4 linked regions of the Caenorhabditis elegans genome follow. The protein of the gene in region 1 interacts with the protein of each later gene in a biochemical or structural test. Each region holds a gene or a part of one and is shown in the gene's direction. Other genes may lie near its edges. The genes, in order: tni-1, tnt-4, lev-11 and pat-10.

The links.
Region 2: the proteins of tni-1 (region 1) and tnt-4 interact in far-western blotting, tested with the Caenorhabditis elegans proteins (one study listed by BioGRID).
Region 3: the proteins of tni-1 (region 1) and lev-11 interact in far-western blotting, tested with the Caenorhabditis elegans proteins (one study listed by BioGRID).
Region 4: the proteins of tni-1 (region 1) and pat-10 interact in far-western blotting, tested with the Caenorhabditis elegans proteins (2 studies listed by BioGRID).

The regions. Positions count from the first base shown.
Region 1 is NC_003284.9:11,374,087-11,381,087, reverse strand, and holds tni-1 (Troponin I 1), read left to right. Parts: upstream 1-3,617; 5' UTR 3,618-3,626; coding exon 3,627-3,686; intron 3,687-3,732; coding exon 3,733-3,858; intron 3,859-3,902; coding exon 3,903-4,029; intron 4,030-4,075; coding exon 4,076-4,220; intron 4,221-4,303; coding exon 4,304-4,451; intron 4,452-4,780; coding exon 4,781-4,927; 3' UTR 4,928-5,201; downstream 5,202-7,001. Other genes in the region: F42E11.3 (Brp/Blh family beta-carotene 15,15'-monooxygenase), read left to right, coding at 5,479-5,578, 5,622-5,755, 5,800-5,969, 6,016-6,094, 6,143-6,289, 6,343-6,489. UniProt on the Caenorhabditis elegans protein: Troponin I is the inhibitory subunit of troponin, the thin filament regulatory complex which confers calcium-sensitivity to muscle actomyosin ATPase activity.
Region 2 is NC_003283.11:1,987,434-1,996,707, reverse strand, and holds tnt-4 (Troponin T, skeletal muscle), read left to right. Parts: upstream 1-3,794; 5' UTR 3,795-3,821; coding exon 3,822-3,838; intron 3,839-3,886; coding exon 3,887-4,072; intron 4,073-4,880; coding exon 4,881-5,502; intron 5,503-6,455; coding exon 6,456-6,551; intron 6,552-6,615; coding exon 6,616-6,696; intron 6,697-6,905; coding exon 6,906-7,031; 3' UTR 7,032-7,233; downstream 7,234-9,274. Other genes in the region: alh-5 (Aldehyde dehydrogenase), read left to right, coding at 50-372, 422-537.
Region 3 is NC_003279.8:14,626,034-14,634,030, reverse strand, and holds the start of lev-11 (Tropomyosin isoforms a/b/d/f), read left to right. Parts: upstream 1-2,936; 5' UTR 2,937-3,071; coding exon 3,072-3,116; intron 3,117-3,251; coding exon 3,252-3,389; intron 3,390-4,089; coding exon 4,090-4,146; intron 4,147-6,978; exon of another isoform or gene 6,979-7,051; intron 7,052-7,997. UniProt on the Caenorhabditis elegans protein: Tropomyosin, in association with the troponin complex, plays a central role in the calcium dependent regulation of muscle contraction. Involved in muscle actin filament organization and muscle arm extension and morphology.
Region 4 is NC_003279.8:5,016,223-5,023,247, reverse strand, and holds pat-10 (EF-hand domain-containing protein), read left to right. Parts: upstream 1-3,161; 5' UTR 3,162-3,184; coding exon 3,185-3,187; intron 3,188-3,255; coding exon 3,256-3,307; intron 3,308-3,357; coding exon 3,358-3,464; intron 3,465-3,871; coding exon 3,872-4,027; intron 4,028-4,077; coding exon 4,078-4,245; 3' UTR 4,246-4,266; intron 4,267-4,321; 3' UTR 4,322-4,465; downstream 4,466-7,025. Other genes in the region: C46H11.6 (PDZ domain-containing protein), read right to left, coding at 82-219, 263-409, 833-1,168, 1,473-1,666, 2,158-2,371; F54C1.6 (Protein-serine/threonine phosphatase), read left to right, coding at 6,988-7,025.

The DNA.
Region 1 (7,001 bases):
TAGCACCATATGTAGATTTTAAATATTTTCCTAACTGGCGCAACGCAGTTTTCGAGAAAGAATAGTTTCTTCTACTTTAAATTTTTAATCATTCACACGTTGGAAAATTTATATAATTTTTTCGACGTAAAAAATTAGAACAAAATATGTAGTTACTATAATATTATAGCTGTGAACAAAAAATATCAGGTTTAACAAAAAATTACAGAAAGTTTATATTGATTTGGTAAAAACTTCAAAGTTAATGCACTTGAAAAGCAGAATTAAAACTGTTTGCCGCCTAAAAAAAATGATTGTCTTGAACTTATTTTTGATTAGTCAGTTATTCGCATATGTAAAAGTGACAATTTTATCAGTTTCTTAAACACGATTATTTTCAAAACTGTTCCACTTGATTAAGCACAATACAACCAATAAGAACATTTTTTGTTCATTCAACAATTTCAATTTCTTTCCAATTTCCAGGTTACGTAATAATCATCGTGCATCTGTTTTTAGCTCCCCAGCAAACCAAACACGTGTCTCGTCTTCCATGTGTCTTAGATTCTTACAAGGCAATAAGATACTTCCACATGTCATACATATTCGTTGCCCCTCGCCACTAGTTCCCCATCTCCCCAGAGCTAACAAAAATCGAGATTTGCAATTCGTTTTAGTTTTTACTAGTAGTATAAATTCGAAATTTCTTGATATTGAGAATTTTAGAAAATCTTAGTAGTCTGTTCATCATAAAAAATCTAATCATTTGCAGCATTGAGGTTTCGGTTTCACCATATTCACCTTGTGTGAAAGTCGTTTTCAAAAAGTCGATTCCGTGATGTTTGCGTATATCGTATTGTCCCTATTAGTATTGTATGCAATTAAAATTTTTCAATTTCTCATTTTGAGTGCAAGTCTAATAGGGAAAATGTGGTAAGTAACAAAACATAGTGGTTGCATCCATATCGTTGAGTTTTATGTCGACTCTCAAAATTAGTAATGAAATATATTAGCTAATTGCCATATTAAGCCGGTTAATAAAATAATTTAAACTATATTTTGGAAAGAGAAAAAAATTGATATTTTCATTTTTAAGTCATGAGTTAATTCGAAGAATTTTCTCACTGGAACTATTCCACATTTTATTCCGTCAATATAGCAACGGTGGGGAAATCGAAAGATCACTAATACAAGTTTTGTTACATGTAAAACTTTTACACGTTTTTAATGAATTCAAATGAATTGTTCATTGATTCAATATTCTTCTCACATATCAACAGTTTTTATTTTCACCTCCCAGTTTTTTCAAATTTAATAGACATAGATAAAAAGTTCGGCCTTTTTCTATCTGTGTTTTCCATTGACACATTTGATCAGGAAGCTAATACAACATATGGGTGGGTGGGCAGAGAGGTCCGCCACGTTTTATTTTTGCTGTTACTGCGTCGAATTGAAGGGCACATCAAAATGAGTATTACAACACGATCCACGGAGCTTAGCGTTGCTCTTCTCGAAACAAATGATCAGAGGAGTAGAAGACACAACGCGATTCCAGGAGAGCACTGAAATCCCATCAAAACGTTGCCCGAGCTCTGATGTCTTTAATGTCCAGCTCCAGGCCGCCACACATTGTACTATTCGGCGAGCCAGCCAACTGACACCAGCCGTGTGTCCTGTCTTTTGCTCTCCTGCCACCTCCTCCAGTTTTTTGATGCTACTTCAATACATTCTGTCTGATCGCAGCCAAGCACTCGCAAATCAAATCTCAGCAACCCCCGCAATGCGACGGCACATCGAAAGCTATTCCCATTCTTCATTCCAGAATCTTCTTATTTCTTTTTCTTCCCCTTTCCTTCTTCTTCGTCATCTTATGCTTCTTCTTTCTATCCCTTTTCCCATTTATGTCTTCTAGTTCAACTCATTTCGTTTTCAGCCCATTCAACTGTGCTTCTTCTGCATATTTTAATTTCAAAACTTACTTTCAGAGTTTTGTTTCTTTTCCATTACAAAAACTCGAGACTTGTCTGGAATGAGAATCAAATCATATACTTTTTAATAAATATATTTTTGCTCACTCAATCTATGATGAAAAAAGAAACTACTTCAACCAAAACTGAGTATTCAGTATTCTCTCCCCTTTTCCTGCCTCTAGCTACATAATAAGACCTTCATTAAATTTTTATTTGTGCTCACTTCTCGTTTTGAAGTCTTTCTATTCACTCACATCAGTCGTCGTTTTTCACGCACTACTACTTCAAATTTGTATGTTTTGAGCAACGTAAAATTGTTTCTACCACCAATTCTTAGATCCGAAAATTTCATTTTTAGTATTATAATTTGATTACTATTCGCTGTCAGATTCATGACCGAGGCTAACAAAACACGCAATGAAACGCCTTTCAAGAAAGCCATTACACGATAATTACCGCTTAAGCTGTCAGTTTCGGAAGCCCTCGCGAAAAAATGGTGTATGCTCATTTTGTTCTCAGAGCTTCTGCAGAGCACTTCACTCACTTCGAATTTTCCTTTCAACTACAATTATTGTCCTTCTATCCACCACCTTTCCTTGCTTCCTAACAACATCCGCTCAACTAACAACTCTCACCTTCACGTTTTTGGTTTCAAAAACTAAAACACTCGCACTGAATCAGTTGGTGATGGCCATTCCACCATAAATTCATTGTTTAATTTTAACTTCCCCTATAGCTTCCATTACCTTTTTTCACCTAACATGTCTTTGCGCTTCTAACTTCGAAAATCTTATGTTTTCCGATATTATTTTCTCCCTCTGTTCACTTCGCTCGCACTTGCACTGTCCCAATTTAAACATCACCACTCGCACATAACCACGTTAAAAATTGTAATGTTTGTTATTTGTAAAATTTTGCAGATTGAAATTTTCAGAATGTATTTAAAATTTCAAAGTACTGCGATAGGCGTACAGGTTATTGTAATATACTCCTACAGTGGTTCGAACAATACATTACAACTAAACTGACAAAGTGTTTATTGGAGCACCAAAATTGGTTCATTACCAACAATAACAATTTTGAAACCATGTCTGAAATATATGACGATCATGTACCTAATGTGTTTTTTTTCTGAAAAACAGTCATAAATTTGGTAATCAATTGCTCCAGAATCTCTTGGCTGAATACAAGGTAACCAACACAATGTTGTCGTACTTCTTCACTTCTTACATCAACCTGCCAAAGTGAGCGCATGCATTTCAGTCATTTTTTATCTTTTTAATATACACTTACTTTCAAATTTTTGACTAGAAAGTTAGTTGGATCTGCACTAATGTTTCAATCGCTTAATAACACACCCATCACTAAGTCTTCCTTTATTTATTTTTTTTTCGAACAACATTCACTGAGCTGATAAAAATACCGTTTGTGTGCGTATCGTTCCAGCAAACCTCACACCCAAACACTTTAGACTCATTCCGTTTCATGGTTTTGCCTCTTCTATCAATCTGTTTTCAATTTGAATCCCCTTTCTCACGTTTACACACACCCTTGAATACCTTCACACCCACCGTACCTCTAACGCTTTCCACCAATTGCTTGGCACATCCCATAGTAGTCGTAACCTTTGTTTTCTGTAAATGTGCTTCTAATCAATTTGCATTTAAGGACTTGAAAATGAGCCAAATTGATGAGAACATTCGCTACGGCGGAGCTGCCAACGAAACCGATGGCGAGGTAAACAAAACAAAGTCATTTGTGTTTTTGAAACGATATTGTTCAGGATGCCCAACGAAAAGCCCAAGAACGCGAAGCCAAAAAGGCCGAGGTGCGCAAGCGCCTTGAAGAAGCAGGACAAAAGAAACAGAAGAAAGGATTTTTGACTCCAGAAAGAAAGAAGAAGCTCCGCGTAAGAGAACATTTGACTTTCAACACTTACAGATTCATTTTCAGAAGCTTCTTATGAACAAGGCTGCTGAGGATCTTAAGACACAGCAATTGCGGAAGGAACAAGAAAGAGTCAAGGTCCTTGCTGAAAGAACCGTTGCTCTTCCAAATGTTGACAGCATTGATGATCACGGTTCGTTCAGTGCTTTAGGCAACAAACAAAATTGTGTATATTTCAGCTAAGCTCGAGGCTATCTACAATGATTTGTTCTCCCGCCTCTGCAACTTGGAGGAAGAGAAATATGATATCAACCACATCACCACAGAGACTGAAACTACAATTAATCAACTCAACATTGAGGTTAACGATCTTCGTGGAAAATTGTATGTCTTTAAATAAACCCAGCAGTGCTAGTGTGTTTTCACCTGCTCCAATTCCGCATGACATGAGAAAAAACTATTTTCAGCGTAAAACCATCATTGAAGAAGGTGTCCAAGTATGACAACAAGTTCAAGAAGATGGCTGAAGCCAAGAAGGAAGATGGAAGCAAGAACTTGAGAAATAATCTCAAGACAGTAAAGAAAGAGAGCGTCTTCACTCAAATTGCCAACAAGGTAAGTTTGTAATAAGTTTAACTGGAATATAAAACTAGTTTTTACTTGAACTGTCAAGAAAAACATGTTAACAAAAAGTAGCCTGCCAGAAAAATTTCTAGAACACATATTTTGTGTTCACAATATTGAAAACTGGCTGAAACAATACATCAATATAGAACATTAAATACAATGTTTAAAATTGACATTTAGAATCCAAAAAACTCAAAATAATAAATTATATCAATTTGTAGTACTCAGAAACATATACTTATTTTATCAACATAACTTTAAAAATTGTTTTCAAATTGATATTTGATGAATTGAATTTACAATAATCCACATTTCAGAAGAAATCTGACAAGCCAGAATGGTCCAAGAAGAAGGAAGAGAAGAAGGAAGAAAGCGCCCCAGAACCAGTTATTGAGCCAGTTGAGGAAGAAGAAACTGCTGCTTCTGAGGGAGAAGAAGAAGAAGAAGAAGCCGACGAGGAATAAATACCGGCATTGTTGTCATTATCTTGTTCACTGAATCTAACTAATCATTCTCGCGTATAATACATTTCATCAATTCAATTTATGTGCCTTTTGAGTTTGAGTATTCTTAAAATTTTGTGCATGTAAAAGGTATTTGGCCCTTTTTTATAAATCTTCATTTGTTTTGTTCTGCCGTTATACTGTTTCAAAATTTCCAGTATACATTCTTTGTATTCTTTCAGTAATATTCCATCTTATTCTTTTCTGCATATTCGCAATAAATGAAGTTATCACCAACCCGGAATTACAGAGCAAAACTCGAAAGCAGCACAGAAAGGCATTTCTATTTGTGTGAATTATCCTAACGATTTTCAGCTGTCAAACTAACAAATGTAAATGAAACAGGGAATAAGGCAAAAACACCTGGAAACGCAAATCGCCGCCTTCTCCGACGTCACCAAGTGTAACCGGGTTGAGACGAAATAAAAGGAGCTCGATAAGCCATTTTGATTCTGAGTTAAACTCGAGATTGGTTTAATATGGAAAGAGTTCAATTTTCATCCTACGATGAAATGCTCCACTACAACTCACGAGTTGCGAATCAATTCCCAGGAGTTGATTTGAACGTTTTTCGGAAGATTCACTATCTGGAACTTCTGTCACAAATGTTTGGTATGTTAGTTCACAATTTTTTTAATACATTTATAGTTTTTAGGATTCCTATTTTACACTTTCTACCTGATAATTTTTCTGGTTCACGGAAAAACATTCTTCATCTCCGAGCACACATTCAAAGCGATCTTCATTATTCAAATGATCACTTTCGGCGCGGCACTGGTCATTCAGAAGGTATTCAATTTTAGTTTTAAAACTGTAGCATCACACAATTTCAGTTTTCCTTTATGGTCAACTCGGTAGAATATGTTACGTACTCAACATTTCCATTTATTCCAAAGTTTGTGATCTCCATTTGTGATCGGCTAGTAACGGCTCAAATGCCTTTGTATTGGTTTGTTGTCAGTGCTTTTCTCATAATTCAAATTGCCCAATTCGCTAATCAAAAGTATGTGTTTCTGTCAAAACAACATTCTAATAAATACATTTTTCAGTCCACGCGGAATTAAACTGGCACATACCTACTTGATACCTTACGGAATAATCATTACCCTCATTTCCTTCATTACCCCGGTAATATTTTCAAGAGAAGCTCAGAAACTAGGAAATCGTTGTTTTCAGGATCATATGAAACTTTTTATGATCGTCGTCTGCTTTCTAATCTGGTGGATTTATCGAAAGCATATGATTGCCCAGTTGTACAGCCAAGACATGACCGCCCGCGACGTTTTGAATATGCGCCGGATGAACATCTGGCTGTCCAGTCAGGTGAGTCTCATTAAAACTCAATGTGTTATATCAATAAATTGGATTTATTACAGATTTTCGGGACACTGATCTTCCATCTGCTCGACTTAGGAATGATGCTGGCTATCAAGTCGTCTGTGACTGACACTGGAAGACAAACCTATTACGGATTCTATAAGAATGAAGTAACAAACCATTCAACAAACGATAAAAATCAATGAATAAATTTTAGGTGTTTAAAGTGGTCACGTGGATTGCCACGTATGCAAATGCATTCATTTTTGCCTGGTCAACAATCAATTTCATCAAAACCGACGCTTCTAAGGAGCCGACCACACTTCCAGTTTTTGTTAATGGTTCGCTTCCAATGGATTCACTCTCGCGTCGCCCGTCTGCAATCTCTGCGTTTTCCATGAACAACGTGGCACCGATCACCCCACGTGGATCAAATATGTTGCATATTTAACGTTCATCCATTTATTAATATGTTTTAATCAAACAATAGATTTTAATAAAAACACAATTTTGTTTCATTCAGTACAAGTATGACAAAACCACCATCAACTTGATAGATAAATAGTAAACAAGGAATGGATCGAGCTGAGATAGGCAGATTGGATTTTGGGAAGCTGGTGGACATGGAGGATGGGATAGAAGGAATAAAAGCAATAAGCTCTGGTTCTACAGAAAACGTCGAGAACAATTTGAAAAGTGGACTTAAATGTTAAGGAAA
Region 2 (9,274 bases), on another chromosome or scaffold:
AGTTTTTTTTCTTTAATTCCTCCAAAAATCAATCAATTCAATTTTCTAGCCGCATATCCGCACTTCTGGATGAATCGAAGGGAGTCGTGCTTGCTGGAAATGAAGAATCCCGTGATCGCTCGGATCGTTTCATTCCACCAACAGTCCTTGACGTCGAAAAAACAGATCCATTTATGCATGATGAAATTTTTGGGCCAGTTCTGCCAATTATCACTGTCAAAAACCTCTGCGAATCCATTGATTTTATAAATAAAGGCGAGAAACCATTGGCTGCCTACATTTTCACCAAGGATGAAGCCAAAGTTCAGAGATTCCTAAATGAAACTACAAGTGGTGGTGTAACTGTTAATGACGTCATTATGCATGTTGCTGGTAAGCTCTCTAGTGAAAAATAAAGTATAAAAATAACTCTGACTTTCAGTTATAACCCTGCCATTCGGAGGAGTCGGAGTATCCGGAATGGGACGGTACCGTGGAAAGTTCGGATTCGACACCTTCACCCATGAGAAATCGGTCCTTCAAAGAGTTTTTGCTTAAAAGTTTAGTGATGTATGAATAATTCAAATTTTATAAGACTTAGATGCAAATAAAGCGTATTGTTAACTTTTTTCAGTAGGCGAACGTCTCGCTAGGCAATTTTTTGTTGTTGATTTTTTTCTCAGATTTTAAAAAGCATTTTGAAATTGCAAAATTTAGCAAAATTCCAATTAGAAGGAAATCTTTATTTTTAAAATTTTATATTTGAGTTCCTACGCAAAATTTCCGACTTTTTCCGTGAAGAAAACATGGTCACCTGCACAAAAATTTGCTGAAACTCCAAAATTAGCTCAATTGATCAAATAACTGTATTTTAAGTCTCTTTTATTTCGAGGAAAAATGACTGTTTGACAAACCAGATATCAATGGAAATGTACATTAAAAAAAACAAATAAGATTAGCCAAAAAGCTTGTCTATTCATTTGCACGGAACATGAAAAATACTCTACATAGCCACTTTTATTTGATTGAAAAAATCATAAAAAATGTAGAAACCATCTATAATTTTTTACAGTCATTTTCCTGTATATTGATACTTTTTCCGGTAATTTTTTGCAAAAAAAACCCGCAGGCGCTACTCCACTTTAAAGTTTTGTAAATTTTGAATATGAAATTAACAAGGGAAGTCGAAAAACTGAACCCCGGACTTTGACATGCCATAGTATTTTTTTGATAAAAGAGTGAAAAAAATGATCTCTCCAAAAAATTTAGCTGCCACGGTCCAGGTTTAGCAAAGTTATGACGTTTTGAAAGTGCAGAAAAAAAATCACTCAGCAAATCACTCACAGCAAAAAAAACTCGAATTTTCAAAAAAAAATTGTTTTCTAAAAATTGATAAAAACTATTGCAACTTATCCAAAAATGTGAAAAACATATATTATGCACATTTTTTCTTCCCACGGACAAAAAACCACATTGCTTGATCTACATATCTTGAGCAAAATTCCAAAAAGTACTTTTCCTTGTATTAGGTCAGTCAATAAGTTTTGTCGTTTTTTCTCATCTTTGATTTTTTCTTAGATATTTTTTTGTGATTATATAGAAGACTGTTAGTAATGATAAGCCCAACAATATCAGCCATATCGGACTACTCCCAGGTATTTTAAATCTCAGAACTGTGATGACGAAAAAAAAATTTTTTTTTCGATTTTTTTTATTTTTTGGCGAAATGAAAAACTTTTTATGCCCTGATGTATTAGACAGTTAGTTGAATAAAAATCTGCAGTTAACGCCGCATGCGTAGCTTTTTGGTGGCGCTACACTCATTAAAATGACCAAAAATGCTTGCAAAAATGATTTTTTTTAACTTTTAGTGGCGGTAACTTCAGAAACGTGAATGATACCAAAAAATAATCAATTGTAAAATTATTTTGCATATCAAGAGCTACATTTTATCAGTTTACTACTTTTTTCTATCTTCACCCGCTGCTAAGTTACAGTCAGTTGAAACAAACCAAGTCCAACTTTTAATAAACACCCTTTTTCCAGATTTTTGCCGGTAACTCCAAAACCAGTTGTTTTCCAAGATTTTTGTCAACAGATAAAACAATCTCCTTTTAATTTTACACATTTTCGTAGTTGAAAGTTTTGTTATATCTTAAGTGTTGGCAAAGATATGAGACAATTAAGCGAGCTCGTCCAATTTTATAAAAATTTTCAAAAATCATCGTGAAAAAATTTCGTTAAAAAAATTTTCAGAGGAAAAGGCCTAAACATTTTTGAAAATGAATAAGTTACTTTTAACTAAAACTTTGCATATACTTTCATTTATCAGCTTTACTTTAGTGGAGAGAAAAATAGAACTTTGGAGTATTTTTCCATTTTTAAAAAACTACGCATATTTTTTTCTTTGATGAGTAATATTCTTGCATAAACCTTATGTATAACAAAATTTTCAACTACAAAAATGTGAAAAATAAAAATTTAATTATTTCAGCTCTTGACAAAAGTTTTGTCAAACAAGTAGTTTTAGAGTTACAGGCGAAAATCTGGAAAAAGGGTGTTTATTGAAACTTGGACTTAGCTTGTTTCAACTGACTGTAACTTAGCAGCGGGCACAGATAGGAAATAGTGGTAAACTGATAAAATGTAGTAATTGATGTGCTTATTAATGTTGTAATTGATTACTTTTTTGTATCTTGCACGTTCCGGAAGTTAGCGCCCTTCAAACTTTAAAAAGTCATTTTTGCAAGCATTTTTGGCCATTTTAAGGAGTGTAGCGCCACCAAAAAGATACGCATGGGGCGTCAACTGCAGATTTTTATTCAACTGACTGTCTAATACATCAGGGCATATAAAGTTTTTCATTTCGCCGAAAAATAAAAAAAAATCGAAAAAAAAATTTTTTTTTCGTCATCACAGTTCTGAGATTTAAAATATCTGGGAGTAGTCCGATATGGCTGATATTGTTGGGCTTATCATTACTAACAGTCTTCTATATAACCACAAAAAAATATCTAAGAAAAAATCAAAGATGAGAAAAAGCGACAAAACTTATTGACTGACCTAATAGGTTAATTTATGGGTTTTCTTGAGAGTTATGAGCTAAGACTTGCATGGCATATGTTTTTCGCTGTTTTGAATCATTTACAGATATTTTTTCCACTTTTCAGAAGAAAAAATTTTTTTTTGAAATTTTTGAAATTTTTTTAAAAAGGTGGTCTAGCCACTTTCAAAACGTCATAACTTTGCTGAACCTGGACCGGGGCAGCTAAATTTCTTGGAGAGATCATCATTTTCACTCTTTTATCGAAAAATTACTATGGCATGTCAAAGTCCGGGGTTCAGTTTTTCGACTTCCCTTGTAAGCATTGAATTTAGAGGGGAATCCTTAAAATTTCTGATCCAAATCCATGAGTTAGCCATTTCAGATCCTTGACTAACCATCACTTCCTGACTTTTTTTCCTGCTCACTTACCACCAGTTCCCCTGTCTCCACCAGAGCACATCACCGATCGCGACATGATTGTACACACAGGTAGCTCTCAAGAGAGCTTACCCGCGATTTGCCAGGATACTCTCCCAAATCTCTCTCATGTTTCCATGATCTTTTTGCGCAGTTTGCGGGATGAGAAAAGAAAGCTAACATACACTGTACGCCCACCGAAACTCGAGATCCGCCTCCCCACTACCACTTGTTGGAATTCATTGGGGTGGGCAAACTTTGAAGACACTATGTAACACTTGCTCTTCTTCCCCTTGCTTCCAATTTATGTTTCATTTCCTAACTTTTGATTTTTTACATTTTTTCAGGGGTTTTTTTTACAACCAATTCACCAATCAACATGTCTGACGAGGAATAGTGAGTTGAAATTTAAAAAATGTTATATTTCAAGTTTTAAAATTCCAGCTCCGAGTACGAGGATGAGGAGGTAGAAGAGGAGGAAGTCGAGGAGGTCGAGGAGGCTGAAGCCGAAGAGGAGGAGGACACCGAGCAGCAAGAGGAAGAAAGGTTCAAGCGAGCTTCTGTCGACACCACGGCAACCGGTGGTCCAGCAACACCGGCTGCTTCTTCGCACGCTCCTGTCTCTTTCGAGTACTTCTTTTTTTCAATTCTTTCCTATCTTATAGTAAAAACTACTAGGCTTTTCTTATCCAAGACCGCCGTGATCTCTCTAATCAAATCACTAGTACTGTTGAGTGGAAAAACTTTTGAAAAGCCTGCGTCTCCGCGCTCGGCCACACTATTTTCTTCGCACTCAAGCACATACACTTACGGCATCACTGTTTGCACTTTTTTCTTTCTTTTCACAATTCCATTATCCATGCAATATTGGAGTGGGTTAGAGGGTCAGATATTTGGAAATAGTTTACTTTTAAATGAGCAACCGACGAATCGAAGTATCCGATGAGAACACATCTGTATTTTTGTATAAAGTAGGAGCAGCCGACATATTACGGGACCAAAATATCATTAAAATCATGTGAAGTCGGGCATGCACTTTTGTTGACCTTCGAGATGTCGGCTGCAAAGTTTTACTGACTGTCATTATGAAGTATGAGCTGCCGACATTATACGGGATCCGGCAATTTGTAGAAGGCAGCTGGCAAACCTCGGGTTTCTCAATTGTCGGCTGCACACTTTCAATGGCTAGTGTAGGAATAAGAGCAGCCGACATATAACGGAAATCGAGATCTCAATGAGAGAGAGATCTCAATATCCGGAACATTTTATTTTTTCAAAGCCTCATTAAAAAACAATTTGCCCTGAAAAATGTCGGTTGCTATCCTAAATTGAAAAAAATTAATTAATGCCAAATATCTAACCCTATAAAATCACTGAGACACTACTAAATCATCACATTCTGAAAAAATAAATTACCCTAACAATATGCATTTTTCAGCGGAGAAGCTCTAAATGAAGGTGAGAAGGCTATGCTCGCCGCCAAGAGACGTCACGAGAACGACGAACAGGCCAAGTTGGAAGACTACGAGAAGGCTCGTCGCTCCGAACGTGAAAAGGAAGAGGAAGAGTTGGAGAAGCTGAAGGAGAAGCAAGCTCAGCGTAAGCTCGCCAGAGAGCAAGAAGAGCGTGAAGCTGCCGAGCGCAAGCGTCTCGACGAGGAACGTAGACAGAAGGAGGAGCAGGAGCGTCGTGCTCGTGCCGAAGAGGAGAAGAAGAGGAAGGAAGAGGAGAAGCTGAAGAAGGCTCAGATGATGGGTGGAGGATTCCCAGGACAACAGGGTGGAAGAAACTTTGTCATCCAGAAGAAGGAAGAGTCCGCCGGAGTTGGAGATCGTTTCGGAAACATCGTGCAGGCCAAACAAGAGATGGGAATGACCAAAGAACAACAGGAAGAGGCTAAGTCGGTCGCCATGGCCGGTATTCGTAAGTCGATCGCCGAGGCTTCCACCATTCTTCCAAATGATATGAAGGCCAAGATCAAGGAGCTTCATCAAAGAATCTGCAAGTTGGAGGCTCAGAAGTACGATTTGGAGAAGAGACACGAGAGACAGGAGTACGATGTAAGTAGTCTTAGTCTTAGGCTTCGGCTTATGTTTAGGCTTGGCATAGTCTAGGCTTAGGAATAGGGTTAGGATTAGGCATATGCTTGGGCTTAGGCTTGGCGTAAGTGGCGAGCGGTAGCTAGGCTTATTAGGCTTAGGCTTAGGCTATGACTTAGGCCAAAACTTACTGATTGGCTTACTAGGGAACCATCAGAAGGTGCCCATCGGACTTGCATATGAAACCTATGCCATTCGATAGCCTATGTCTTAAAACGGTTACTCGTGAATTTTTAGCTGCGAATCTCCAGAACCAAGTTCACGGCGAGCTCTCAAAGATCCTAAAATAGCACTATAATGAAGCATTGAATGGCCAATATTCCTAATTTACTTTGGTAGCTCATATCTCCGTGGATAATTTTTTTAGAGAAAAGTCATCAACTGATAAGTTGTTGATCTTTTAGTAAAGAACAAATTTGTAGTTGAAAGTTTTCCACCAAAAAAATTCTGTTTCAGATAGAAGCGCGTGAAGTGCGGCAACTGTTGTTACTATTTTATTGCTGCTATTATAATGTTTTTATCTGATACAAAAAATTGTTGGTAAAAACTTTCAACTACAAACTTGTTCTTTACAAAAAGATCAACAACTTATCAGTTGATGACTTTTCTGTAAAAAATTTATCCGCCGAGATATGAGCTACTAAAGATAATTAAGAAAATTTCTTCTTTAGATCGTTACAGTGCTTCGTTACAGTGCTATTTTAGGATCTTTGAGAGCTCGCCGTGAGCTTGGTTCTGGAGATTCGCAGCTAAAAATTCACGAGTAACCGTTTTAAGACATGGGCTATCGAATGGCATAGGTCTTATATGTAAGTCCGATGGGCACCTTCTGATGGTTCCCTAGATAGGCTGCAGCATAGGCAGATTCTTTAACAATTTAACCACTGAAAATACGGAAAGTTTGCAAATTTCAGCTGAAAGAATTGAATGAGCGTTCCCGTCAAGTGGCCCGTGCCAACAACGCCAAGAACGGACAAGTCAGCGGAGACGACACCGGAGGAAGACATCCAGTATGTTCATTAGGATTTTTGGCATTAATAGACAAATTATAATAACTAACAAAATTATTTTCAGCCAAAGGTCCAAATCTCTTCCAAATACGACAGACAAATCGACAGAAGAAACTTCAAGGAGCGCCGTCAGGTTTATGAGAACGTAAGTTAAAACATTTGTTTGAAAATTGAATTGGGGGCTGGTTTTTATCTGAGAATTTACAAAACCCTGATTTTGGAATACCAAAAAAATAGAAAAATTAGAAAATTTAAAATTGGTTAGGTATGTTATATTCCTAATTTTTTGTATTTTCAGCTTACCTAGTTTAATTCAAAATTATTCGATTTGTTACCATGTTTTTTAATTTCCAGAAAATCGCATTCCCATGCTTCCCAGGAGTTGCCCCACCACCGGCATTGTACGAGAAGGTGATCAAGAAAATGGACTACGAGATTCAGCAAGAGCTTGAAGCCGCCGAGGAAGAGGAAGACTATTAAGTCGATAATACCAATAAAAAAACCAAAAAAAAAAATCATTTATCCAAGTAGTTTTTATCTTTTTTTTTTTGCAAATACGTTTAATTGTTGTTCAATTTTTCTCTGAAACTTTCAGAAAAATCCAAAAAAAAACCCTCTCACTTTATGTTCCCATCAAACTTTTCCCAATGTCTAAAGTTAAAAATAAAGTTGAAGCGGAAATATTCTGTTATCATTTCAGTTACTGACCTCAATTAATAAAAGCGGAAAGGCGGGCGAGAACGTGGCACTAGAATGTTATCACTGAAATTGAAATAGTTCTTGTTCTGATGATGATGTTTGTGGCTATTTCGGGTGGCTTCCTGAGGAAAAGATCAAATAAGACCGAAATTATATAATTCGACACTTACAAAAAAACCCATTTTATGAGATTATTTTTTTCTGAAAAATTATATTTTTTTCAATGTTTAAATTTTTGAGAAAATCAATTTATTAATTCACCGCTTCGGAATGTTTGGAATTTTTAGGGGTGTCTTCCCGCTTATTAGCCTAGACCTACCTACCTACATGTCCGGCCATCACCTACTCGTTGCCTGCCAAAGCTTTCTGTATTTACTTTATTAGTAAAGCCTCCAATCTTAATTTTCAAACTCCTTCTTTAATGTAAGTAATATATTTTTTGAAAAATAGTTTCACATAATGATATGTAGAGGAAATATGACAATATTGTATTGCTATTCTATTTCTAAAATTTAGAAAATGTATCATACTTTTTGGAATTTTTGAACTTATTAAATAATATTAAAATTGAATTCAACACTCTTTGGTCGATTTATGAAGTGTGCTTAACTGAAAATTTCGTTTAACATGATACTGGGTTTTACAATTAAGCCGTTAAGTACTTACTGAAAATTTACGTATTCCAACTATTAGGAATATTTTTTTGCATATAAAAATAAGGAATTTTGCATCAGAATATTATTATTGAGATGTTTATTATACTTTTTTAATTTGAATTTTTAATTGTAATTAAAAAAAAGTGTTCCAAAAGCCCAATAAATATTTGATTTCCTGTCGAACTTATTTGAAATTAAAATAAAAAGTTTTTTTTTAATTGAAAAGTATCGAGCACTCGAAGAACATAGCAAACGATAAGACAACAAAAATGCGCGGCGCCGAATAAAGACCTGCCTACGTGCCTGCCTTCCGCCTATTTTGTAATTAATTTAAAAAGCATAAAATTGATATTAAGTTTAAAGGTTAAACTGTAGTCACTTCGAATACCGCGTATAAATATTAAAAAATTTATAAAATTGTTTAAACGGTAATAATAAAAACATAATTTTTTTTAAAAATTCTATTTGTCTAGATAAGAGTTACACCGGAAGGAGGAGAAAACAGTAAAAATTATGACCGAGACAAATAAATAAAATGACAAATTGGATCGGTTCATTTTTTAAATATTTTTTTTTTTGCAAAACTATTTTGAATGGCTGATTCATTTTGAACGGCCGATTTTTCTAAACTACTGTAACCCTACCGTATGCCTGTAGTACCCCTACAGTACCCTACAGTACCATTACAGTACCTTAGCATCAACTCCCAACCGATTACCTCTTCAAAAACAAATAAATTTAAAAAAACACTCGGCGGGGGTCGAACCAAGGGAAGCGTTCTGCGCGATAGGCAACGCTACTAACCACTTGGCCATGAAAAAAGGGGGAATATGCAATTTTCGATTTCACACTAAAGAGCCCACTTCTATAGCTTAACTTGGTCGTAGAATTTTTTCAAAATACTTATTGAAAAGAGATCCTCGAGTTGTATAAACTCCTGAAAAATCATAACATAATCTCGAATACTCGAATTTTAATTCAATTTAAACCACCCGAAAATGACGAAAATGAACGATTTTTGGACTATACCTTGAAAATCTCGGCTCAATAAGCTCTTATCGAAAAGCGGTAAAATACGTAACGTGAGGAACTTCTTTTTTAAGAGGTTTAAAAAAAGAGCTCAAAATTTCATCCATCCAGCGCCGAGCTACATGCGATAATCCATGGGACACTTTTAAATTAACAAAAAAACGAAGGTTTGCGCGACAACTCGATGTCCGAAAAATTTCAAAAACGGCTACCCGTGGCACATACGGGTATTTTGAGAAAAAATGCAGAGAAACCGCAAAAATTTTAAAGCAACTACATCTATTTGCATTGGAATATATATATATATATATGTAGTCGTTTGTTTTTTTTATTTAAAAA
Region 3 (7,997 bases), on another chromosome or scaffold:
TGAAATTTGGAAATTTTATTAAGGTACTACCGTAAATATATACACATGCATATGAATGAATATACATTAACAGAAAACCGGAAAAAGAAAAATGTACACTGTTTTCGATATTGCTAAAAACATCAAAAATCCCCATATCCGTTCAAAAACAATATTGTGTTATATTGTTTTACAGTAATGAAATTGGAGGCAAACTGTCCCCAACTACCGGATTTTGTAATGAGACGTCTTGAAAACTTCTCATTACGAAATTCGGTCTTTTTGGGGCATTTTAGTCTAATAGAGCAAAAATTGACTTATTTAAATATTAAATTATTAACCTGAATATATACTGAAATGGAACACCGACTTAAAATAAAAATTGATTATAAGGATTTTGTTTAAGTATTACCGTAAATATATTCAGTAACGGAAAATCGAAAAATGGAATGTGTACACTATTATAGTAAATTTTGATACCGTTAGATAACAATTGCATGTTCAAAAATTTGTATTGAAAAAATTACTAAACCTGACAAAAATTGAATATATACTATATTATACTGTATTAGAACTGTTATTGCTATATAGCCTCTAATGGGAAATGATTATTTGCTATGGTAAATATCCGGAAAATTTTAAGTTTTTTTTTAAAAAGCGTAGCTGAGTAGTAAAGCTTAATGAAATAATGCAGTAAATACGAAAAATGCTAAATTCAGACAGAAAACCACAGTCTTCAGGAAATTTCGGCTGACACTACTTATTTTCATTAACGTTCAATTTACGATAGCGTGCAAAAAGTAACAATATTTCCTCTAGCCTTATGTAGACTAGAAGTTATGGTAATCACGTTTGATATAAAATTGGGTTGAAGTACTTAATTTTGCGAACTTATCTGAAAATTGACTAATCCGTCAATGCATAATTATAGTAAATATGTCATTTTGAACATTAATTCGGATAGAATGAAATTTAGAAAAGAAGTGTCTTTTCTTTTCCGACACATCCAATACGAACAGATATTATATAACGAGGTCCCCCTAGTCATATTACATGCAAGACTAATCGATAGGAAATAGTGTAGCAAGTAGCTGGTACTATTCATGGATCTATTTTTCATCACCATTATATAATCGTAATACATACATACATGCATATATACATGATCACGAATCTTAGTTGACATTAAATTATCACGACTTATTTAGAAATACTGTCTATGATAAATAGTTTTAACAAGTATTCTCCTACAAAATCATTAAATATAACCCTAAATTCAAAATAAACCACTACTATTATACCTCTTCCACATAATCCACTGATATTATCAAACAAGTTGCCCTCTTGACAATAAACTCTCGAACGCCAACTGTTTCGAATGTTTTGTCGTCGGCTGGATGCCACAATTGCTTCTTTTCGGGGATAAGAAGAAGAGCATATACACACAAGTAGTATTGGATTCTAATGTCAGGATTTCAAAAACTGAGACTCTGATCATTGACCGACTTTTGGGAATCTGAGATAAAAAAAAAGAACAATAACAAAAAAAAGTTTAAGGGAAGTAAATGCGTTTCTATGGATAGTGGGTAGGGCTGTACAAATCGGCGTCCGGTCGTCCGATTTTGACACCACCGGACGCACATGCGTCCGGTTGGGGGTAGCTATCCACGACGGCCGACAACTTCCGAGTTTCGCCACTCACTATACTTAATCAGCAATTTTATAGTGAGTGGCGAAATTCGGAAATTGTCGGCCGTCGTGGATAGCTACCCCCAACCGGACGCATGTGCGTCCGGTTCGAACTTCGGACGACCGGACGTCCGGTTGTACAGCCCTAATAGTGGGTAAAGAGAAATGGAAAAATATGGGAATGTATGAAAATTGGAAAGATGAAATGTGGTACTTCTTATTGTAAAATTAGACACTAATCAAATTCCGGAGAACAAAGCTATGTAACATGGCACTGTAAAAACTGAGCTTGTCATATTTTTTAAAATTCAGTTTTGATTGTTCAGTTTTCTTTAAAAATTCATTCATGAATAGTTACAGTAATAGGATATCTTATATCACGTGTGCATTAGTGTTGCAACCCTTTCCATAAAGTTTCAAGGTTCTTAAAAAAAGGTTCAACTGGAAAAAAACCATACTTGTAGCATACTCTTTCGTAGTGTAATATTACTAGGGAAGCCCAGATTTATGATATCTGTTCATATTGGATGTATGGTGAAAGGCAATATGATTTCGTTATGTTAGGCTTGAAGGCTTGTTAATAGGCTTTAAAAAAGGCTACCAGTAATGTTAATGTTAAGGTTGAAGCCTTGTTAGGCCTCGAAAATGAGACACTTATTTTTTAATTTTAACTCCATTAATGTTCAAATTTAAGGATGTCCTTAAAAATGTAACTAATTTTAATGACACCATTACTTTAATAATTTATTAAAGTTTTAGTCAATCTTGAGTTAAATTTTCGAAAATTTTGCAGCAATTTGATTTTACATCACTTATGGTTATTATTACTAACAGTCTAGATATATAAGAAATATCGTTACTATTTGTACGATAACGTAATTAACAATCAAATTGATAATCGTTTCAATTTTTTAATGTAAAGAGGCTCAGAACGGCTTTTGCCACGTCATCAAGCGACCACGCGAATATCGGTCCTGGAACACCATACCACCTTACTAATTATGTGGTTTTTTTTTAAAGTTTTGTTCCTTTTTCCATTCCACGAGAAACCCTTCTTCTCCCCAATCATCATCTTTTCCATCTGCCATCGGCTCTTGCTCTTCTCCCCACAATTCCCGTTGCTCCGTGTGTGCTGTAATATGCTCCAGGGGGGTGGGTGGGCAGGGATCCCATAGGCATAGGTCTCCACGAAATCAATACTATCTAATCATCTGCCACACCCCCGTCTGATGTTGTGGAGGAAGTGAGAAGAGAGAAGAAGAAGAAGAAGAAGCGGGGGCTCGTGTGGGAGGAGTCTCGTGAAGACGGGAACCTGAAGCTAACGGGAGAAGAAGAATCATTCTCCCCTCCAATTTGAATCGTCGATACTCCGTGTGTTTCAACACAACAACAAACTACCAAAAATGGACGCCATTAAGAAGAAGATGCAGGCCATGAAGATCGAGAAGGTTTCCACACTTTTTTTAAATTTTAATACTGTTTTATAGTGAATTTCTTCAACTTTTTCAATTTTAAAATTAGTAGTGGTCATATACATTCCAATATTTTGAATTTTTCCTCAAAACCATATACACATATTCTAGGACAACGCTCTCGATCGTGCCGATGCCGCTGAAGAGAAAGTCCGTCAGATCACCGAGAAGCTCGAAAGAGTCGAGGAAGAGCTCAGAGACACCCAGAAGAAGATGACTCAGACCGGAGACGATTTGGACAAGGCTCAGGTATGGGTTTAAGCCAGAATTTAGGCTCTTTGCGTATATTTTATCGATTTTAAGACCCCATATAAACTGGCTTCCTAAATTTTCGCTTAGATCTTGGTTTGATAAGACTTTAAGCTATCAGATTTTTACCAGGAAGCTTAAAAATTCATGAAAATCGCAGGAGTTTCTAGAAGTTCCAAAATATTGTCTAGCTTCTACTTTGATACCATATATAATTAGCGTATTATTAATACCTACTTTCTCAACTTAAAGCCGCTATCCCGGAAGATTTTGGCCTGAAACTGAGCAAAGTTCTGAAAAGCAGAAGTTGAGCTCTAAATTTCCTAATTTTTTGGAATCAAGCTTTTACAATACCTTATATATAGCGAATTTTGATTACAGTCCGATTTCAGAAAACAAAATTTTTTAGAGACACTGGCGCTCAAGTAACCTATAAAATCTTAAAGTATAACTAAAAATCACCCTAAAAACAAAATTCGAAATTCATAGTGCAGGGTGCTCAATTTGTAACTTTTAGCCCTAAAAATTTAACCTGGAATCTAAAATTTACCTAGGACACCACTAGAAATCAAATTCGAAGCTCATGGTGCATCGTCCACCTAGGTCTACCTGTCTCCCTGGGCTTATGCTCCTAAGCTGAAACACTTAGGCTTAAGCTAAGCTAAAAGAATAAGCTCAAAATCAAACTTCCATTTTTCAGGAGGACCTCTCCGCCGCCACCTCCAAGCTCGAGGAGAAGGAGAAGACCGTTCAAGAGGTGAGTCGACTTTCTTTTTAAAGCCCAATCCGGGCAGCTTTTGGTTTCTAAACCGACTTCAGGTATTTCCAATTCCCAATCCACAAGCACAACGACCAGGTTTGTGGCGCGATGTTCAAAGTCAATTAATCCGTTAATTAGTCAGTGAGTAGTTGGAATGAAGAGAGAGAGATACATACATATATACAGCTAGTTTTCCATTCCTGTCCTTTTGGGCATGAAAATGAGTGAGAGAGGGTGACGTTGATGATGATCCGCGGTTTTTTTCTCTTTTCCACCCTCTTTCTCTCACTTCCCATAGGCTTCTTCCCCCACCGGGGTAGCTATTGTTTTGTGTGTGTGTGTGTGTCTTCTTTTTTCAATAATGTTCATATATATATATATATATTGTTTCTTCAAATGTTTGGTATACATTGTACTGTATTCAATCATGATTCACTTTTTTCATTCCGTCGAGAGTCAGAGATAGGGTACTGTAGAAATCCTTCTTTCCCGAAAAAGACTTGATCAGGGTGTGGCTGTTATCTAGTTAGCATGTTATATAACATTATGTAATGATGTTCAAACCAGATTGGCATCACTTTTAGCTCGGTTTTCCAGATTTCCCAATTTTGTAAGTTGTCATTATACTGTTTTATTGAAAACTGATTGTGAGCAAAAAGTGTTGTCAATTTATGTAATTCCCTTTAGTCATTGCTATACGTTCTTGAAAAAATTTTGTTGGCTTAAAACATTCTTAAGCTCCGGCCTTAGCCAAATTTTGCAAGGCTACTTTTCAATATTTCGGAAAATTCTAAGTGGTGCCATGTGATATTTAATTTTCTAGCTTAACAAGCTATTAGTTTTCAAGTACTGATCCTAAAAATTTAAAGCTTAGAGCAGTGGCATTTTTTTTGGAATTTCACTAGTCTGGCGGTAACTTTAAGCGAATGTGATCTATTAACACGTGGTGCCAGGTTGTCTCATTGAAGTTTGATCTACAAAAAATGTGGGAATTTTTAGTCAGCACATTCTTAGCCATGCGAAATCAGTTAAGAACTGTGCGTCTCTTCTCCCGCATTTATGTAGATCAAACCGAAGTGAGCCACTCTGACACCACGTGTAATATAATAATCCAGCAGAATTCAAATTCCTCGTGGTGATTTTTCATGCATTACTTTTCATAGTCTTCGAAAAAAATGCTCAATATTTCCAACTTCGGAGTATTTCAAGTGTATGTTAAGCCTATTTTGAATCCCACGCATCACCGAATTTATCTAGATTCCTAGAATATCTACAGTGCATTTTTTTCCACTTCTCCAACTTTAAAGGAGGGCGCATTTATACGAAATGGTCCCGCCACGCGGCCCAAAAATCAATGCGTGGCGGGACCATTTCGTGTAAGTGCGCCCTCCTTTAAAGCGGTAGAAGTGGAAAAATATCAGTGATTTTTAGGAAAAAAACCTTTTTTTGTCGAGAACTTTTTTCCCTCTCCCGACGTTTTTTTTGCACACAACTTGGCGCGCCGAAATCCAATTTCTTTGCGAAAAGCTCAATCCCATTTTCCGTTACTGCTCAAATGAGCGAGAGGCGAAGAAGAAGAAGAAGATAAAGTTCGAGGAGTGTATGAAGTGCTGTTGGGGGCTTCCTTCCCCTGCCTGCGCCATTGTCTAATCTCTAAGTCTCTCTAGCTTCTCTCTCTCTCTCAATTTCTTCTCTTCCAACTGATTACAACGAGATGTTTGCTTTACAACAACTCCTCCCCGCCAATAGGCTCCCGAGGGCTCACTGAGCATCAACGGGCGGCGCGGCGGGAAAGAGAGAGAGAGAGCATCTCCCCCGCAATTTCAAGAAACGAGGAGAGCTGTGTGATCGGCTTCTCGGCATTTTTCAAGGGGCAAGTGAATGGCATGTCAGTTGAAATGGAAATAAATGAGAATAAATGAAAGCGCACACACCAAAATAGAAACTACAGTAGTGCCTAATGGGTCTCGCCACGATTTTCGTAAAAATTCTAAAATTCCTAGGATTTTCTTCCGAGAACTAGGCAAATGCGCTGCATTTTCAAATTTTTTAAAGGAATTTGCAGGGTCTTAGGTACTAATTTCTAGGGGTTTTATTTGACATTTTCAGGCGCTTATTGCGGAATTTCTTACTTTTAGTGTCAGGCTGTCCCATTACTGTTTGATCTACAAAAAATGCGGGAAATTTAGAAAGAAATTACAATAGTACCGAGTAGGTCTCGCCACGGCAAGTAGACGCAAGTTTTGACTCTTTTTGTGTAAGGTTTTCGGTGGAAACTACTCTACAATTCCCAGGGTTTTCCCTCAGATTTTGGTTCTCAGATACAAATTTCTAGGGTAGGCCCTTAATGCGAAAATTCTTACTTTCGGTGTCAGGCTGTCCCAATACTGTTTGATCTACAAAAAATGCGGGATTTTTTGTGACATCAGCACGTTTTAACCATGCAAAATCAGTTGAGAAGTCTGCATCTAAATCCCCGCCATTTTTGTAGATCTAGGTAGATCACACCGAAATGGGACGTGCTTTTGAAGGGCAACTTTTGAGCGCCCAAAAGTTCAAAATTTTGGGGAATTTTCCCGCCTAGCTAACAATTTTTCCTGAATTTCCAAGTTTGTTCGGCCAGTGTTCCCAGTTTACAAAACTGGCATTGAACTGTCATTCAGCTCAAGACCACCTACCAATTAGAGACACCTTCGGTACATACACCCCAGTCAGCCGGTTTCCCGGTCTCCATCTCTACCACAATTTGAATAGAACATGTAATTCGGGTAAATACTCGACGTCTTTTCTTCCTCTCTCTCTCTCTCTCTCTCTCTCTCTCTCTCTCTCTCTCTCTCTCTCTCTCTCTCTCTCTCTCTCTCTCTCTCTCTCTCTCTCTCTCTCTCTCTCTCTCTCCAATTTCCTTCTTTTGTTGAAGAACACGTCAATGTACCGCCCTTCCGGTCAAAACACTCAACAGGAAAAGGAAAGGTCTCTCTCTGTATTTGGGAAGAAGATGCCAATCTGCGTTGCAATATTCTTCGCCCCCTGCCTCCTGCAAAAAGCTATTCATCAAGCCACGTGCCATTGTGTGGGACATCTCTTTCTCCTTCTATGTCTCTTTTGGAAGCTCTTTCTATGTCATACAACATAGTATTCGATTACTAGTCACTTGGCTTCACCCAGATGGGTCCAGTTTCTTGGAAAAACGCTACTTTTTTACAGTAAAAACATAATTTTTTGGCTCAAATTTTGAAATTCTCAGTGAAATCCTTTATGTCAGAAGAAACTTGACATTTTTTGCTAAAACCCGCAATTTTTGTCCAGTTTTGGAATTTTCTTATAGTTTTCTTGTTCCTGTCTTTCCCTGATTTTGCTCGTGGTGCCAGGCTGTCCCATTACGGTTTGATCTACAAAAAAATGTGAAATTTTTTTTTCACTCTGACACAACGTTGCTTTGAGCATAAATTTTGAAGTTTCTTGAGCATTCCCCTGAGTTTCTGCCAAAAATCGAAAAAATTCTAGGCGGTTTTACAATAAAACCTTGCTTCGGACGGTTTTCAAAAATAGTATTCCACTTTTAGCCAATTTTTCTAAGTATTTTAAGCTATTTTGGGATCCCACATGGTGTCAGAAAGTCTCATTACGGTTTGATCTACAAAAAATTCGGGAATTTTTTCCCAGAAAAATTGTGAGGCCTTTAGTCATGCAATCTCCCGCATTTTTTGTAGATCAAAGCGACATGGGACTTTCTGACTCCACGTGGGTGCCTGGCCTAACTTTTGCTATACACTGAGCTCTTTTCTAGATTTTGTTACAATTCCAAAGCTAAAGCACGTGCCTACCAGAACCCACATTTCCATAAAAAA
Region 4 (7,025 bases), on another chromosome or scaffold:
CACAAGCATTACCAAGAATGTTCAACAAAATATGAAACCAATAAATAAAATTTCATTTTCAGAAAAATAAAGATCAAATACTCATTCATCATCAAAAGCTCCACGTTCCTCCTCTTCATCACCCGATCTAACTGCATGACTCTTGGTAACAACGTTTTTCAAATTATCGATTTCATCTTCAGCCACATCCGTTGAAATGTTTGCCGTGGATGTTGCAGTCTGAATATTAATGTTGAACCTTCAAATTAAGCTAAGAACTCACCGATATTTTTATTGTGTTATCCTTTTCTTTACTCAACTTCTTGCCAGGTTTCTTTTCACGAGGATTTTTCCCTTTGAAGACATCCCGACTTAAAATGCTTTTTGGTTGCAACTTTTTCAGAACGTTATAGTGCATGTTGCTTGCATTCTGAAAGAAAAATGCGTATGTCTTGTTAAGAAAGTATGAAATTGTATATTTTCTAGTTTGGCTCCACTTTAAATTACTCTACAAATAGCTGCTCAGAAAGTGCAGGCGGGTGACGACTAGAGATTTATTCCAGAAGAATTTTTGAAATTCGGCGACTTGATTGCAATCCAGTGGTCTAAACACGCGTTATTCATGTTCTCGGAGCAATAATTTACCGAGTAGATGTGGAAACTGAGGTGACCAATTTCTCAAGTTTCAGGCTTACTGTATACTTCTGATTTTAAGAAACCCAGTGTTTAGTTATTTTAATAATAATATTTTTGTTGAAGCTCCAGCATACGGATCGTCCTAAATCTTGCAAAACCGGACGCCGGTTTTCCAAGCAAACGTTCAGCCGGTACAATTTGAAGAAAAAGTCCTCACCCGACCAATACATATCGCGTCGTTTGCCATCTTAACATCTGGATCTGGAGCAACTGACTCAATCAAATGACGAAGAGTGTTTGCAGATTCCACAGAAACCGGTCTTTCAACCAAAAATGTGACTTTTTCTCCTTTCAAAATTCCCGACAGTTTCTCACGAATGAAGTCGTCATTTTTCTCTGCGTTCAGAATGGATTCTTCATTTATATCCATTATCAGATCCCCACGACCAAAGAATATCGAAGCGAGTGAGCTGGGCTCGATTCGAGTTACTATGCCACGTTTTTGAATATATGTCACTGTAACTCCAACCGTTGCACTTTTCATTGCGGAAGTCTGGAGTAAATGGTATTTATTAAGGGGTGGACATAAGTTCTAGGTATAATCCAAAGTTATTTTAAACAATTATTTTATGAGAATTTTTGTTGTCAAGCAACAAGCAGTTCGTCACATTTCGTCAAAAAAACTTTCATAATTTCGTCTTTAATTTTTTAAATTAAAAACAATTCATACTCAAAAAACATGCAAAATTCTAGAATTTAATTGGTCATTCTGTAACTCCGTTCAAAACCTCATTGCAAAGTTCAGATTTCGTATATTTTCGAATAAGATAATCATGTCGATTTTTCTTCAATTATACCTTTTCAACTTCAATAACAAAGCACGTATTGTCCCGTCTCAAAACACATCCCGATTTCTTCAACCGTTCTCTGGTCGCTGGGATAATATTTTTCCGTCTTGTAACCTCAACACTACATGTTTCACCTTTCATGAGCTCTGTCTGATACTTGGATATATTTCCACTGGCACCGTTCACCTTGACTATTTTGTCGCCTGAAAGAAAAGTATTTTTAATCTAGTTTTTTAAACTGGTTTAATACATTAATTGGAAAAGTGTAAAGTGGAAAAGAAACTAGGGAGTCTTCCGAGGAAAATTGACTTTTCCTGGCTCAAAATGTATAATTGTGGACAGAAGAGTTTTGAAACCCTTGTACCAGTCAAACCAATTTTTGCCTATTATTTTATCGGGGATAAATATACATTTGTTCGGCAAAACATCACAACTTCATAGCAAACTCTTGCAACTTGAAACAAACATTTATAAACAATTGCCAAGAGATGTTACAAAGTTGCAAAAACCGGAGCAGTTCTAAGCGAAATGTTTCATAAAGTTTGCCAAAAGAAATTGCAAGAGTCATCTGAAAAGCTGCAGAAATTTGTTAGAAAACTAAAGTAAATAATGGTTTGTAAGAAGTTGCAAGATTCTGTTATGAAGTTGGCCCGCTTCAAAATAGTTTCGGGTTATCCGGCCGTTGGAAACTTACTCAATATCAATCCATTGTAAAACGAGTTTGTTGATAGGAAAGAAACCATCGAATTCTCATTAATTCTAATAACTTCATTCGCAGGCTTTCCGACATCTTTTTCATCAATCTTGAATGAAACTGTCATATTTACAGTTTCCACATTCTGTGGGATCGGTGTCAGCCAACATTCTTTCATCTTTTTGTTCGTATTCTGCACTTTTTTCTTCGACATTCTTCTTCAAAAGAAATAACGTTTTCCGAAGTTACTTGTTAGCTCCAAACTCACGATTATGGTTTCCTTTTGAAATCCGGAAATTTAGTGTCAAATGATAAATAAGAATGATTAGAAATCTACCTCCTCCCCCTCGACTAAACTGAATTGGAAAAACATAAAGTTTAAATTCAAAATGGTGTGTCACGCGATAAAAAGTTACTGGAGAAACTTGAGAATTATAAAATAGTATTCAAATTAAACGTTTGATATAAAACTGTAAAGATATACATACTCAGTGCACATTTAAAAAAACTGAAAAAAAAACGTTGTTGTGTTCTGAAGCCCAAAAAGGCTAGATGTTCTGGTCACCATGTACAGCTAAGAATCCAAGTATTCTGGGAAAGTTCAATTACATATATTGCCTGTCAACTCCATTTCTGTACTTAATTCTACTCCAATTATATTATTTTTTTTCTATTTCCTGGACTTTTATTGATCCTTGGTTGCCTGTCCCCCCAATCTTTCTTCGTACTCTCCTCCCGTTTCCCCTTCCTTCTCGGAGAGCCTTGTCTCTCGAATCCTGTGTTTCGCAAAAATCATCGTCAACTTCCACACAGATATCATTCTGCGTCTCTTCGCCCTCTATGATCTCTCATGCCCGTTGATCAGGAGCATCTGTCACCCAGTGTAACACCAAGAATGTGTTTTGTGGAGGAGACGATGATGCCGTTGTGAGAAAGAAAAGCCCGCCCTCGGGTTCCTCCGCCTACTCGCTCCCGCCGTTGCTTCTGCCCGACGAAGCTTATCCAGAGCACAACAAACTCCGACAACATGGTGAGTCCCGCTTTCTCATGTCTTCAATAAATTTCTTTTTGAATTTTTATATGTTTATACTTTTATAGGCTGAGGATATCGAAGAGATTCTTGCTGAAATCGACGGATCCCAAATTGAGGGTAAGATATTTTATATTTATGATTGAAAAATCATCATTAAAACTTTCTAGAATACCAAAAGTTCTTCGATGCCTTCGACAGAGGAAAGCAAGGATACATCATGGCCACTCAGATCGGTCAAATCATGCATGGAATGGAACAGGATTTCGATGAGAAGGTAAATCATTTTGGAACTTTTGGTTTATGTAGAGTTAGGGGATCTTCAGAAGAGTGATAATTCAAATTAGGAAGTTTTCAACTCTTTTAAATTTAGGTTTCACGGTAATGATTAGGTAGGCCAACTGAGTAAGATAACCGAAAATATAAATGGGTTACTCTTGCCTAAAATTTTGTTTTTATCCGACCTATCTTCTGCGGCTTGTTTCTCAACTGAATTCAATTAATTTTCGCCACTAAAACATGTTACTAATGTTTGTGAAATAATTAATTTTGATATTCCATCTGAACAAAAGCATTTATTATGTCGACTAAAGTAAGATATAACTATATGTTATGAAATTTAGTTATAGAATTGATGATTTTGATTTTTCTAAATCTATGTGGCATCTAACTTCATTCTTTTAGACCCTTCGTAAACTGATCCGCAAGTTCGACGCTGACGGTTCCGGAAAGCTCGAGTTTGACGAGTTCTGCGCTCTCGTGTACACCGTTGCAAACACTGTCGACAAGGAAACATTGGAGAAAGAACTTCGTGAAGCTTTCCGTCTTTTCGACAAGGAGGTTTGTACTTTTAGATTTTGCTTTTTATTCTTTAATTATTAATTTTTCAGGGTAACGGATATATTTCTCGACCAACTCTGAAGGCTCTTCTCAAAGAAATCGCCGATGACCTCACCGATCAACAACTCGAGGAGGCTGTCGACGAGATTGACGAGGACGGTTCCGGAAAGATTGAGTTCGAGGAGTTCTGGGAGTTGATGGCTGGAGAGTCTGATTAAATTTTCTAATTCCTTTAAAATGTAAGTGTTCGAGCTTTTTTTGATTTTATTCAAAAACTAACTTTTTATTTTTCAGCGCTGATCTACAATCTTCAACTGTGGGGACCAGTCACCAACTTTTCATAATTTCCTTTTTCTTGAAATGTTAAATTCATTTCACTTTTTATTAATTTTCTTGTCATTCTTTTGAATGAATAAAAATGAATAAAAGTCTTTGTACATCCACAGGCTTATTGGAAGAGTGTGACCAATTTGAAACGGCCAAAATCAGGAAATAATCAGAAGAACTAGACTTCTCAAATCCTTTAACACAACATCAAATCCGCAGTATAGTGCTCCGTTTTCTCTTGACCTAAAAAAACGGGAAAAGTCCATCTACGGGGAATGGAATGACAAATCTCTATAAATATAGAGATTCACCGTTGCAACCTTGTTGTTTGAAAGTGAAGTGTCTCTAAATAGAATGAAAATTATGAAAAATGGAAAATGTATTAAATCACTGCAAATGAGACCTCTACTCTGCGGCATTACAGTTTTTACCGTTTTAGCGCAACAGGACAGTTTTTGTAAATTTGCAAAAGTAAAGTGACAATTCTCTATGTAGATTTTCTACGAATGAATTTCAGGATACTTGTGAACTTGCAAAACAGTTTTTCACTATTTCAATTGTTCCAAATCTAAATTCAACAAATCCCTCTCTTTTTCTCTATCTGTGCTCAACTCTTTTCTATATAAACTTAGTGTAACATAGGCTTTATCTTTTTCTATCCACTTTCCCACCAATATCCCTCCAGGAATAGAAAAGGGATTAACGGTGGAGACTCCAAATAGTGTCCATCACATGCAGCTACTATTGCTCCAGAAGCCCTTCACGAGTCTCTCTGCCGTCTCTTTGCTTATCAGAGCCCAGATACTTACTATGGAAACCATCAGATGGGAAAACGAGAAGAAGAAAGCAGATGTAAATATAAATTAGAAAATAAGAAGAAGAAGAGACAGACATAGAGTTGTCCCTCCGTTTCTCTTTCTCTCACTCCCTTTCAAAGCGCCACGTGTTAGTTTCTTTGAAGTAGGTACAAATATTAGGATGCTCTCAATGTCTATAATGTATCTGGTTTACTGTAATTCTATGTCTCTCATTCTGAAACACTGTTTTTAAATTCCTTGCTTCATTCTTTAGCTACCTTGCTTCAACTCAGAAATAACAAAAACAAGTGTTTTTCTAGAGTATTTTTGAAAGATAACTGCTGAAATCAGAACTGCAGTAATTCTCTGAAAATAAAAATTTAAATAAAATACACAATTCTTTTAAATACTTTAAAAAAAAATATATTTTTAGCTCACACGACTTATCAAAAAACATCACTCTGATTGTGAGAAAACTCACCAGTTTTTGCTGAAAATTTTTTAAATTAAATTATTTCTTACATGTCTTAGATTACTTTTGAAACCTGAGAAAACTCGGTCACTCTTATTGTTGGAAAACATATTCTTCAAAAATAGGCTCCACATAATTTAGCCAAGTTTTTGAAAAATCTGATAAAATAACTTTTTAAATTTCAATCTATCACCAGAAACGGCCAAAATGCACTTCTCAACTGTTCAATATGCATTAACATGTAACCTGTGCCAGAAAATAGAATCCTTTGAACCAATGATCGATGTTCAAAAAAAGTCGATTTACGTATGAAAACCTTTTTATTTTCATTCTCCATTTCCTCAATCTCTCCCTTGACCATTGTCATCTTATTGTCTATAAATCTATTTGACGTCAGAATTCTTGTTTGATTTCAATTTCAATTTCAGAGAGCTTTTCAGATTCAATGAGTTCATAAATCCACCTCATTTCTATTTTATCTCTCATTTTTCAATTTCCTGTAGTTCTCAATTCCAACTTAATCCTTTTCTCTTTCTCTATCCCTATTTTGTCATTCTGCCCTTATACTTCTTGTGTCAATCTTTTTGTGTCATACTATTTCCGTTGGCTCTAGCTCGTTTACCATTTGAACCAGATCATTTTTTATGTTTTACCTTCGGGAACTGTTGTACTTTTTATAATTGGAGCTCACAAGTTTTTTTTTGCAATTATTTTTGAGCAACAATGTATCTTCCACAAGAGACAATTGCCAAAACTTTATTTTATTTAGAACCCGTTTTGCCAATTAACGAATTTTTGAAGAGAAAATTGGGTAAAAAAAGTAAAAATAGCGTAATTTAAAAATTAAAAATTATTTTTTTTAAAGCATATTAACATTTTGTACAAAATTATAAATGGAGTAGAGACCGTGGGGAAACAAAATACTCAAAATAGGTGAATAAACTGAAAATCTGAAATCAAAACTATTATGCTTTAGCTTTTACTGAACTTTCTGCGAAAGTTCTGGCAAAAATTTTTTTATTTCTTCGAAAATTTTTGAGTATGAACATTCAAAGCCCTGCAAAGTTTAGAGATCCTTAATTAAGATGAAACCGATTTTTTCCTTAGCAGACAATGCAACAAAATCAGGGAAAAACAATTTTTGGTTGAAAATGGTTTCTAAAAAAATTGCAGTTTTTCAATATCTCAAGAAAATATTAAAATCTTTGTTTTAACTTGAAAAGCTTTAGTTTGGCGTTTCTCATCATCCAGTTTTCCATTCCCATTTCCATCTTGTCAAATCTCGCCCATTTCCTTAAATTTCAAATTGCAGTTTCCTCTAGTCTCCCATCTCCAATTCTCCCGTTTTGTGTAGTCTCCACTTCATGAGCATTGACCGAGGCGACCGAATCATTGTGCAGAT